3 linked regions of the Macaca mulatta genome follow. The protein of the gene in region 2 binds, or shares a complex with, the protein of the main gene of each other region. Links are inferred from orthologs where the notes say so. Each region holds a gene or a part of one and is shown on either strand. Other genes may lie near its edges.

Region 1 (3,654 bases), on a different chromosome or scaffold from region 2:
GGCCCAGCTGTGACCTGTTTTATCCAGTCTATAAAATGCTCCAGCCAGTTTTTGTGGGCTGTAGGTACCTTGTATAAGGCTTGCTCTGATGGCAGGGTGGGGTCAAATAGGTGCAGCTTCCAAGATGACCAACAAGAGTAAGAGTAGACTTTAAAGATGTCAGGCTTTAGGTGCAACAGTGTTCTTCCTCTGGTTTCCAGGGACCCAACACTCCAAGTCACTAATATTTCCCTTCTGTCTGCTCAGGGAGATGGTACTGGAGTTGCCAGTATTTACCGGGGGCCATTTGCAGATGAAAATTTTAAACTTAGACACTCAGCCCCAGGCCTGCTTTCCATGGTAAGTGAGGTCCAATCAAGGTTTTGCGTTACAGCCAGCTGGTTTCTGGGCCCCTCTTGAGGCCCAATGCTGTGTTTTGGCATGATGAAAGCAAATGCTTTCTTTCTCTTGCTTGCCCCAGGACTCACCTTTACCACCTCTTTTCTCAGTCTGGTTTGATTGAGAAAACCAGTAGGTACATGGTGGATTACAGGTGTGAGCCTGTATCACGTCTGTAATCCTAGCACTTTGGGAGGCTGAGGCGGGTGGATAACCCGAGGTCAGGAGTTCGAGACCAGCCTGGCCAACATGGTGAAACCCATCTCTACTAAAAATACAAAAAATTAGCCAGGTGTGGTGGTGGGTGCCTGTAATCCCAGCTACTTGGGAGGCTGAGGTAGGAGAATCGCTTGAACCCAAGAAGGGGAGATTGCAGTGAGCCAAGATCGTGCCACTGCACTCCAGCCTGGGCAACAAGAGCGAAACTCCGTCTTAAAAAAAAGAAAAGAAAGAAAAGAAAACCAGTAGGTAAGACCCTCTAGCAGGCTAGCAGGCTGGGGAACTAAAATATGAACCAGGGTTTGTGTCTAGGCATTCAGCCCTACTGCTCAGAATGTAAAAAGCTGTGCTTTCAAGACATATTCATAGCTGGGCCTGGTGGCTCACACCTGTAATCCCAGCACTTTGGGAGGCCAAGGCAAGAGGATTGCTTGAGGTTGAGGACAGGAGTTTGAAACCAGTATGGGTAACATAGTGAAACTTAAGTCTCTACTAAAAAAAGAAAAAAAAAATTAGCCAGGTATGGTGACACACACCTGGAGTCCCACCTACTAGGGAGGCTGAGGTGGGAGGATTGCTTGAGCCCAGGAATTTGAGTCTGCAGTGAGCCATATCCTGTTCATCTCTGTATCCTTGGATCCTAGCTTAGGCCCTGGCTCATAATAGGTGCTAAGTTAGATTTACTGAAAAAAACATGGAGGGATTAGGGTTACAAGCTCTTTTGGGAATCTTACCCATCAGGTAACATGGCCAAGGAAACTTACTGCAGGTATATTTGGTTTCCATCAGGCAAATAGTGGTCCGAGTACAAATGGCTGTCAGTTCTTTATCACCTGCTCTAAGTGCGATTGGCTGGATGGGAAGCATGTGGTGTTTGGTAAGTCCTACTCATGTCCCATGGTCCAGGCCCCATTCACCGCGGATGGAACCTCCAGAGGAGTTAGTTCTCAGACTCTTACCAAGAATGCTCAACTTGGATAACTGCTTAGGTGGTAACAGAGAAAACAGAAATGGTGGGGAGGTGGGGAACATGTTTGGCTAGAGAACTAGAGGGAAGGACAAAAGGGCCATTTGATATAGTATGGAACCACTCAGGGGAAAACCCAGTAGCTAGCACCAAAGAAATGCCATACAGGCAGCATGATATGGTGAGACTTTGCAGTCACTCAGATATAAGTGTGAGCCCTAACTCTACTTATTACCTATGACCTTGAGCAAGTCATTTCACCTCTACTGCATCTTAATTTCCTAAAGTTAGTAACAGAATCTAATGACATAATAGCTAAGAATGGGCTTTGGAAGCTGGAAAACGCTATGTAAACAAGAATAAAGTCCAGCTCACACTCTTCCTACAGGAAAAATCATCGATGGACTTCTAGTGATGAGAAAGATTGAGGTAAGTACTGCTTTGATTTTTCTCTTTCTCTCCCATTCTGGTCTGGTACTGTCTGACTAGCGTCCAGGAGCTAGAGAAGGGGGAATGAGCTCCAGTTTGTTAGGCCCAGTCTTCATTGCTTCAGGAAAAGGGAGGAGAGACCACCTAAGTTAGCCTGTCTGGTCAGCACTGAGGTTTGGCCCCTGACGACCCTGTTGCCTACTTGATAAAATTCTACTCCTCAGCATTGCATTCAAGGTCCTTCATGATTAGTCCCTGTCTACTTCTCCATGGCCCCTTCTCCTGCCACTGCCTCTTTCATGTTCCAGTCACATCAGGCTACTAGCTCTTCCCTAAATCTGCCATACACATCTCTGCCCCTTGCTCTTTCCTGCTCCTGAGCCTTTGTTCACACTGTTTCCTGTAGCTGGAATGCTCTTCTTTCCTTCCCTCCTGGTGGAATCCCATTCATCCTTCTAGGCACAGTTCAAATAATCCTCTTTTGTGAATCCTTCCCTGACCTCTTTAAGCAGCAATTTAGTTACCCGTCTACCCCTTATCCAACTCTCTCATAACTTTTTGTTATATTATCATAGGTTTGATGTTTTCTAAGTGTTTTGCATTTTCTCTTTGATACCTGTCTGCCAGGACATGGACAGTTTCTGAGTGCTGAGTCCTTAGCACAGGGGCTGGCAGGCATCAGTAAAAGTTTGATAAGGGAATGAGGAAGTGCCTGAGTGGATGAATGTCCATTGTGCTTTTTTTCCTAGAATGTTCCCACAGGCCCCAACAATAAGCCCAAGCTGCCTGTGGTGATCTCACAGTGTGGGGAGATGTAGTCCAAAGACTGAATCAGGTAAGTGTGTCTTTCTGCTATTAGGTTAGGAGTCAGACCTCAAAGAAGACAGCATGGTCTAGTGGAAAGATCTTTAGTCTTGAAGACATGAGATTGAGCCCAGTTCCTCTGTGTGTGACCTTGGAGTGGTCACTTTCCTTCTCTGAGCATGTGTCCTCATCTGTCAAATGGAAATACTGTAATACCTATCTCTCAGAGTCACTGTAAAAATCAAAAGAGAAAGGGTTGTAGGAGCACTGTACTTTTCTATCACTTTGTAATGTACAAAGTATCAATCTGAAAACTACTCAGGCAGTTTGTAACAGCACTTTCAGACTACAGTTCCATTCAGTAGTCCCCCTAGAAAGACCTGGCTCCAGGCCTGAGTAACTCTCTGCTGGGACCAGGCCAAGCAGCCAGGAGACACGCCTGTCATGCACCTCATCAGAACTGATACTGCAATTCCAGGCCTTGACTTCGTATTTGCCGGCCTCACAGGTGAATGCCTTGCATCTTCCAGCCTACATGGACTCATTTCTTACCCGTATTTGCCACTGCCTGCTCTGCGCTGGGCAGCATGCTCGCTGCAGAGAGCGGGGCAAAGAATTGAAAGGTGTCTCCTTTCAGGAGCTCATGGGAAGTAAGACATTCTCAGAGGTCATCACTAGTAATATGAGTGACACTGCCAAGTGTGAGAAGAGTACAAGGGGGAAATCCGAGGTGAGGGATAGTAATGTTTTTCTTTTTTTTAATTTCAAACCTGCAAAAAAGTTAGAAGAATACCTTGACCACCCATATATCTTCACTTAGATTCACCAGTGATTAACATTCTTGTTTTATTTCTTTG
Region 2 (3,754 bases):
AGACAGGGTCTCTCTCTGTTGTCCAGGCTGGAGTGCAGTGGTACAATCATGACTCACTGCAGCCTTGAACTCCCACCTCAGAACCCCAATTAGCTGGGAATACAGGCACGCGTCACCATGCCCGGCTAATTTTCTACTTTTTTGTAGAGATGGGGTATCACTATTTGCCCAGGCTGGTCTTGAATTCCTGGGCTCAAGCCGGACTCCCACTTCGCAGCCTCCCAAAGTGCTGGGATTACAGGTTTCAGCCACCAGGCTTGGCCACTATTACTTTTATAATAAAACAAGATATCTCAGCCAGGTGCAGTGGCTCACGCCCGTAATCCCAGCACTTTGGGAGGCCGAAGTGGGCAGATCATTTGAGGTCAGGAGTTGGAGACCAGCCTGCGCAACATGGTGAAACCCCGTCTCTACTAAAAATACAACAATTAGCTGGGTGTGGTAGCCGGCACCTGTAATCTCAGCTAATCGTGAAGCTGAGGCAGGAGAATCACTTGAACACAAAAGGCAGAGGTTGCAGTGAGCCACGGTTATGCCACTGCATTCCAGCCTGGGCAAGAGAGTGAGACCCTGTGTCAAAAAAAAAAAAAAAAAAAAAAAAGATATTTCCCTTTGGGTAAAAAATAATTGGAAAACTTCAAAAGGGAGATTATCACGAACCACTCTAGCTGCAAACCAATGCCAGAACTATGTTAGATCTCCAGAAGACAAATGGAATCAATCTGAATCCAAATGTACACTGAATTTTTGATAAGACTGCTCACTCGTAGAAGCAAAACTATGTAACACATTGTAAGAAAAAGGCTCTCTGCATGATTTTAAGGGGGTAGGCAAAATACAGCCTTATAGATGCAAGTTTAAGAATTGAAATTCTGCCAGGCGCAGTGGCTCACGCTTGTAATCCCAGCACTTTGGGAGGACGAGGGGGAGGGATCACAAGGTCAGGAGTTTGACCAACATGATGAAACCCCGTCTCTACTAAAAATACAAAAATTAGTTGGGCTTGTTGGTGTGCGCCTGTTATCCCGGCTACTCCGGAGGCTGAAGGAGAACTGCCTGAACCCAGGAGGCGGGGGTTGCAGTGAGCAGACATCGCGCCACTGCACTCCAGCCTGGTGACAGAGCGAGACTCCGTCTAAAACAAAAGAACTTAAATTTTTTGACATTATAAAACTGATGATATTCAAGTTTAGGAAAGTATTCATTACACAAAGAGGTAAAGATGGGTTCACAATTTGCATCTTACCAGAGGTTATATTAATATTTCCAGCTTCGATCCCTGCTTTAAGTCCTTCTTTCCCCAAAATCCCAGACTCTCCTTTGGCCAGACGCTCCCTCTCCTTCTCTTCCAAACTTCCATAATAGATGTGTGGTTTCTTCACAACCGGAGCAACTAAGTCATCGGGTGTTTTAGTTTTGGTTGCCTGCCAAATCAAAAATCTGGATTAAATTGAGGTTTAATCTTGGCAATTTACCGGATTTCCCGAGGATGAAGCTCGCCCTGAGTTTCACAGTCCTATTTCCTTCATAATTGAAAGGACAAATTGGACACTACTTAAGATGTTCTTCATCGATTTGAGGTGAAGGGGAGGGTGTTTCAGTCCCTCACTTTAGCTGACGGGATTGATAAAACTAGTGAGGTTCTCTCGAGTATTTTCATATGAAAGGTTTGCTCTGGAATCTGTTTACTTTATTCTGCTGGAAACGTGGAATCTCGTGTTTTACGATGTATCCAAGATTACTGCTCATCACTGGGGAAATATTAAGGATAGATGAAATAACCAACGCGGTGCTAAAGGATAACAAGTTACAACATTACGAGTGTATACATTTCAAACGTTTCTAGACGTGAGGTAGAAGTTAGTAGGTCTCATTAAAATTTTGAGATCTGCCAAACGCATAAACCTTGGCCAAGACACTTCCCTATTTCAGAGCACCGTTACTGGATGAGTCGGAAGAGATGTTTGCCCTTTGGGGCTGTAGTGGGAGAGGTGCAAATAAGCTACAGTCCACGAAAGCGCTTAGGGGTCAGGAAAACGGTGGTCCGCTGTGTAGAAGACCACTGAGTCCCGCAGCCTTCCTCCTCAGCCCTCCACCGCCTTCTCTCGCTCCCTAACGGCCCCTTCCCGCAGAGATCCTCTTCCCCCTCCGCGCTCCCTGCCAGAGTGAGTTGCGATCCCGGGCTCTGTACCGTGGAGGAGGTTCGCGAGGAAGCCATGCTGGGCTCTGGAGCCGCGAGGCCCCAGCGAAATCCAAGCTCTCCGTTTCAGACCTTCCACCGCGCGCCCAGCAGAGCGGAAGTGCGTCACTGACCGGAAGTGTGTCGCAAACAGGACATGGGCCAAGAGCCGTCGCTGCGCCCGGAGCGGCGCGGAGCATGATGGAAGTCGTAGTAGGAAATGGCGTCGTGGCATTGAGGGGCATCCCTCCTAGAACCTCCAAGAAAAGCTCGCGGAAGACGAGGTTCTGCTGAGAGAGAGGCTCCAAGCCGTCTGGGAAGTGTAGTCCAGTTGGCGTAGCAGTAGTTTCGTGGAGGGGAGCCGAGGTTCCGGGAAGGGGCTGAGCCGACTTGAAAAGAGGTAGGTAAGTCGACTCGCGCGGCTCGGGGCTGAACTCTGGAGCGAGTCGAGGGCTTCCGGGGCCCGCTGTGCCTCCCCGGGCCTACGGGGGCGTTTACGTCTTCTGGGAGCCGAGGACCGTGTTACCATAGAAACCCTGGGATCCGAGGTACAGGCCTGGAGCTAGGGGACGAGGACTGTTCTCTTCCATGGTCCGGAAGTCTTCCCAGGGGCCACCTATGAGCTTGATGGCTCGGCGGTGGATTTGGGCTGCAGCGAGAGATTAAGCTAGAAGAGCCCGCTGGTGCCAAAGTCAAATAAAGACCCGGCGGAGGAGCTTCGGCCTGATTTTGTTCATTTGTCTTCAGCCTGGTCTTTGTATCAGATTGAGAGTAAGATGATGGTTAGGAGGGTGTCAGGGAACTGTACGTCTCTCTGCCCTGCTGGATGCTGGGGTATTAGAGACGAACAGCATAAGGTTTTTATCTCCACGTGGACGGTGGGAGATCCTCAAAATATTGACGTTTCCGTAGCTGGCCAGATCCTCATCCAACCCCCTAGAAAAATTACAGCCATAATAGGTGTTATTTATTGAACATTTATTAAATGCCAAGTAATGTTCCAAGAGCTTACTCTGCATTACGTTATTCACTTCCTACAACAGCAAAGTAGGATACAGATGAGGAAACTAAGGCCTAGTTAGAAATGAAACTAATTGTTCAAGATCAGTGGCGCAGTGGGATTAGAACCTGTGCCCTTTAACCTCTACAGCCAGCACTTTTAACTGCTACTCTATACTGCTCCGTAGTGGCCAGTTTTTCGCAGTTTGCAGAAAAGGTAAAATGTATAGTAGACCTTTTTTTTCCTTTTAGGTATCCCTATCCCTCTCTTTCCCTCTTTGGAACTTTGGCTTTCTCTACCATTTGTCTGCATTGGAATCTGGTAGAAGATAATGCCTGATTTAGTACAAAGCAATTTGAAATGTAATGTGCCAGTGTTTTGTGTTGATAATATCGCCTGTAATATCCTAAGCTTCATGGGAGAAGGAAATATTTCTTCCTTTGTATACTTCACAGTCCCTAGTTTCATCCTAGATACATGTAATAATTTGTATCTCTATATACTTTCAAGGAGTTTTCACTTCCATCATTCTCACTTAATCCTTATCATGTTGACCTGTATAATTTTTATAGGAG
Region 3 (2,648 bases), on a different chromosome or scaffold from region 2:
TCTTTAGAATCAATTCCCTGAGCTAGGATTTACAAGTCAGAGAGTATTCCATGGCCCTGCTTTAGAGAACCTGGGTTTATCCTTCATGTTCTCACCAACTCTTGTATTAGCTTTTTTTCATCTTTTCCAATCTAATCGGCAACAAGTAATATCTCATTCTACATATATTTTATTTGTTTACTAGTGAGATTCAGCAGTCTTTCACATGGATAGTAACCATAATTTTTTTTCCTCTTATGAATGTCTGTTTGTGACCTTTATACGATTAAAACAAAATGTTCTATACTATTAGATAGCGTTACTAAAAGAACGTGCTTATTTTGTGGTTTACAAAACACCAAAAAAAAAAAAAAAACCCAAAACAAAACACAACATACAAGAAAAACCTCCAACTCTCTGTAGCAGTTTCTGTGTAAGAAAATGTCTTGTTTTGGTTATGTATAGTAGGTTATCTCATGGAGAAGGAAACGGTTATATTTCTAACCCCCTGGGCAGTTTTTTTTTGTTTGTTTGTTTTTTGTTTTTTGCCTTTGCTGTGAGAACAGATACTTTAATTAGAAGTGAACTTTTTTTTTTTCTTTTTTTTTTTTGAGACCAAGTCTCACTCTGTCACCCAGGCTGGAGTACAGTGGCTCAGTCTTGGCTCACTGCAGCCTCTGCCTCCCAAGTTCAAATGATTCTTCTGCCTCAGCCTCCTGAGTGGCTAGTGTTACAGGCACCCGCCACCACGCCCGACTAATGTTTGTATTTTTAGTAGAGACGGGGTTTCGCCATGTTAGCCAGGCTGATCTTGAACTCCTGACCTCAAGTGATCTGCCTGCCTCTGTGTCCCAAAGTACTGGGATTACAGGCGTGAGCCACTGTGCCCAGCCTGGACATTTCATTTTGAAATTCTTTTCATTAGTTTTCGAACAGGTTTGCATATTGTGCCTCAGAAGTTTCTTGCTCATTTATAATTGTGGCTTATATGTAAAATAATACAGCAGGAAATGAGCTAAAGTTATAGCTTAAGCTTTCTTTGGCTAGGAAATAATTTTATTATTCACAGTCCATTCTGGTTCTTTGAGAGTTTACCGCCTTTAGCAGAATTCTGGTAGATTAATGTCTTATGCTGTCATTACACACACAATTTTGAAAGGAAACTTTTTTGTTTAGAGGATAATGGGGGCAGAGGCAGAGAGTGAGGAGCATATTAATGAAGTTAAGACATCAAATGAGAAACTTATAGACTCGACTAATTGAATCTAGTATTTGTTTTTACTTAAATTTTTTTTTTCTAGAAAATACCACTTTAAATTAGAGACAGAGTTAGAGGCTTGCAGATTTTCATCTTCTGAAAAAGATCATTAGGTCAAATTTTACAAAATTTATACCATCTTAACACAATTAAAGATTCACTCAAACTGTTTCCTTGAAAGCTCCCTCAAATGTTTTTGGCCATTTTCTCTATTAGTTTTGATTGGAAAATATTATAGCTGTAACAAAACAGAACAAGATGTGTTATAATGCAATATGTTGCCCTATATTCTCAAGCTGCTCTTCACTGTGAGTCACAGCTTTAAGATGTTCTTTCGGGAGCACCTGCTGTCTCCTCTTCTATTATTTTAACAGATTGTGGAGACTTCCTTTTAACCCTGGAGTACATTCATCTGCTGCAATAGATGTTGTAAAAGGATGAAATAAATCTGCCAGACCCGTATTTCACTTAGTGGCTGAAGTAGGAAATGCCACTGGAACCAAGGATCATTTGTTCATGCATAATTGCCCACCTTGTGCTTAGCTTTCACAGAATGGTATTTTTGTTGGATTAGTCTTATTCTCTTACTTTTTTGAATGCTTTAAAAGTTGCTATGTGGTCATACATACCGTGAGGGAAGTGACAGTTTGTTGTTTTACTGGGTAGTAGTGGGTGCGTGACTGCCTTCCTAGTCTTCATTCAGATTGGCCTAGAGTTGTTTTGTGCTTAAGCTGTTGAGTTTCATTTAGGGTATGAATTTTTTTATTAAGTATCTAAGAGCTAATGAATAAAGAGATCGTCTGCTCTAAGGTATACCCTGTAATTTTCAACTCCTACTTGCCTTGTATTTCTTCTTTTTGACTAAATATGTCTACAGGGGTCCTGGCTTGCTTGGATGGCTACATGAATATAGCCCTGGAGCAGACAGAAGAATATGTAAATGGACAACTGAAGAATAAGTATGGGGATGCATTTATCCGAGGAAACAATGGTAACATTTCTTCACCCTACAGTACAGCATTCATTCAAAATAAGCCTTTCTGTTTATAATCCAGATCACCAAAGAGTTTACTAGATAATTTAAAAGTCCAGTTTTAGGCTTGATTATTTTAAAATGCTTATATGTCAGTTTGACCAGTTATTTTTTTAGATACATCATGGAATTTTTAAACTAAAATTCCCTCCTTCCCTTCCTTTAGTGATGAGGAACTGGGGGCATTGTTCTCCTGACCCGGAACCCTGCTCTCTTGAATATAGTGTATTATTATCTCCCCAACACATATTCCTGCTTCTTGTAGCCTGGAAGTTGCAGCTGTAAGAATGGGTACCATTTCCCTGCTGTCTTTAATTTGCATAATTTGGCAGTTTGTCCTATTTGTCCCTTCTCTATTAAACATTCAGATGCTTTCTG

The links. Proteins that work in one complex are often made in the same cells at the same time.
Region 1: the proteins of PRPF4 (region 2) and PPIH are in contact, whole or in part, in a crystal structure (PDB 1MZW), measured with the Homo sapiens proteins. The link is inferred for Macaca mulatta from reciprocal best matches to the Homo sapiens genes PRPF4 and PPIH. Residues at the interface, in NP_004688.2 of Homo sapiens: Arg113, Gly116, Glu117, Pro118, Ile119, Thr120, Leu121, Phe122, Gly123, Glu124; in NP_006338.1 of Homo sapiens: Phe14, Arg26, Phe46, Cys47, Thr48, Gly49, Pro57, Ile58, Gly59, Tyr60, Lys61, Gln173, Cys174, Gly175, Glu176, Met177.
Region 3: PRPF4 (region 2) and LSM6 share a complex: the UniProt entries of both Homo sapiens proteins name them as parts of the precatalytic spliceosome. The link is inferred for Macaca mulatta from reciprocal best matches to the Homo sapiens genes PRPF4 and LSM6.

What each region holds. Positions count from the first base shown.
Region 1 is NC_133406.1:198,092,977-198,096,630, reverse strand, and holds part of PPIH (peptidyl-prolyl cis-trans isomerase H), read left to right. Parts: intron 1-246; coding exon 247-339; intron 340-1,386; coding exon 1,387-1,474; intron 1,475-1,952; coding exon 1,953-1,993; intron 1,994-2,742; coding exon 2,743-2,811; 3' UTR 2,812-2,828; intron 2,829-3,654. UniProt on the Homo sapiens protein: PPIase that catalyzes the cis-trans isomerization of proline imidic peptide bonds in oligopeptides and may therefore assist protein folding. Participates in pre-mRNA splicing.
Region 2 is NC_133420.1:45,037,154-45,040,907, forward strand, and holds the start of PRPF4 (U4/U6 small nuclear ribonucleoprotein Prp4), read right to left. Parts: upstream 2,272-3,754; 5' UTR 2,219-2,271; coding exon 2,192-2,218; intron 1,425-2,191; coding exon 1,247-1,424; intron 1-1,246. UniProt on the Homo sapiens protein: Plays a role in pre-mRNA splicing as component of the U4/U6-U5 tri-snRNP complex that is involved in spliceosome assembly, and as component of the precatalytic spliceosome (spliceosome B complex).
Region 3 is NC_133410.1:154,735,013-154,737,660, forward strand, and holds part of LSM6 (U6 snRNA-associated Sm-like protein LSm6), read left to right. Parts: intron 1-2,114; coding exon 2,115-2,228; intron 2,229-2,648. UniProt on the Homo sapiens protein: Plays a role in pre-mRNA splicing as component of the U4/U6-U5 tri-snRNP complex that is involved in spliceosome assembly, and as component of the precatalytic spliceosome (spliceosome B complex).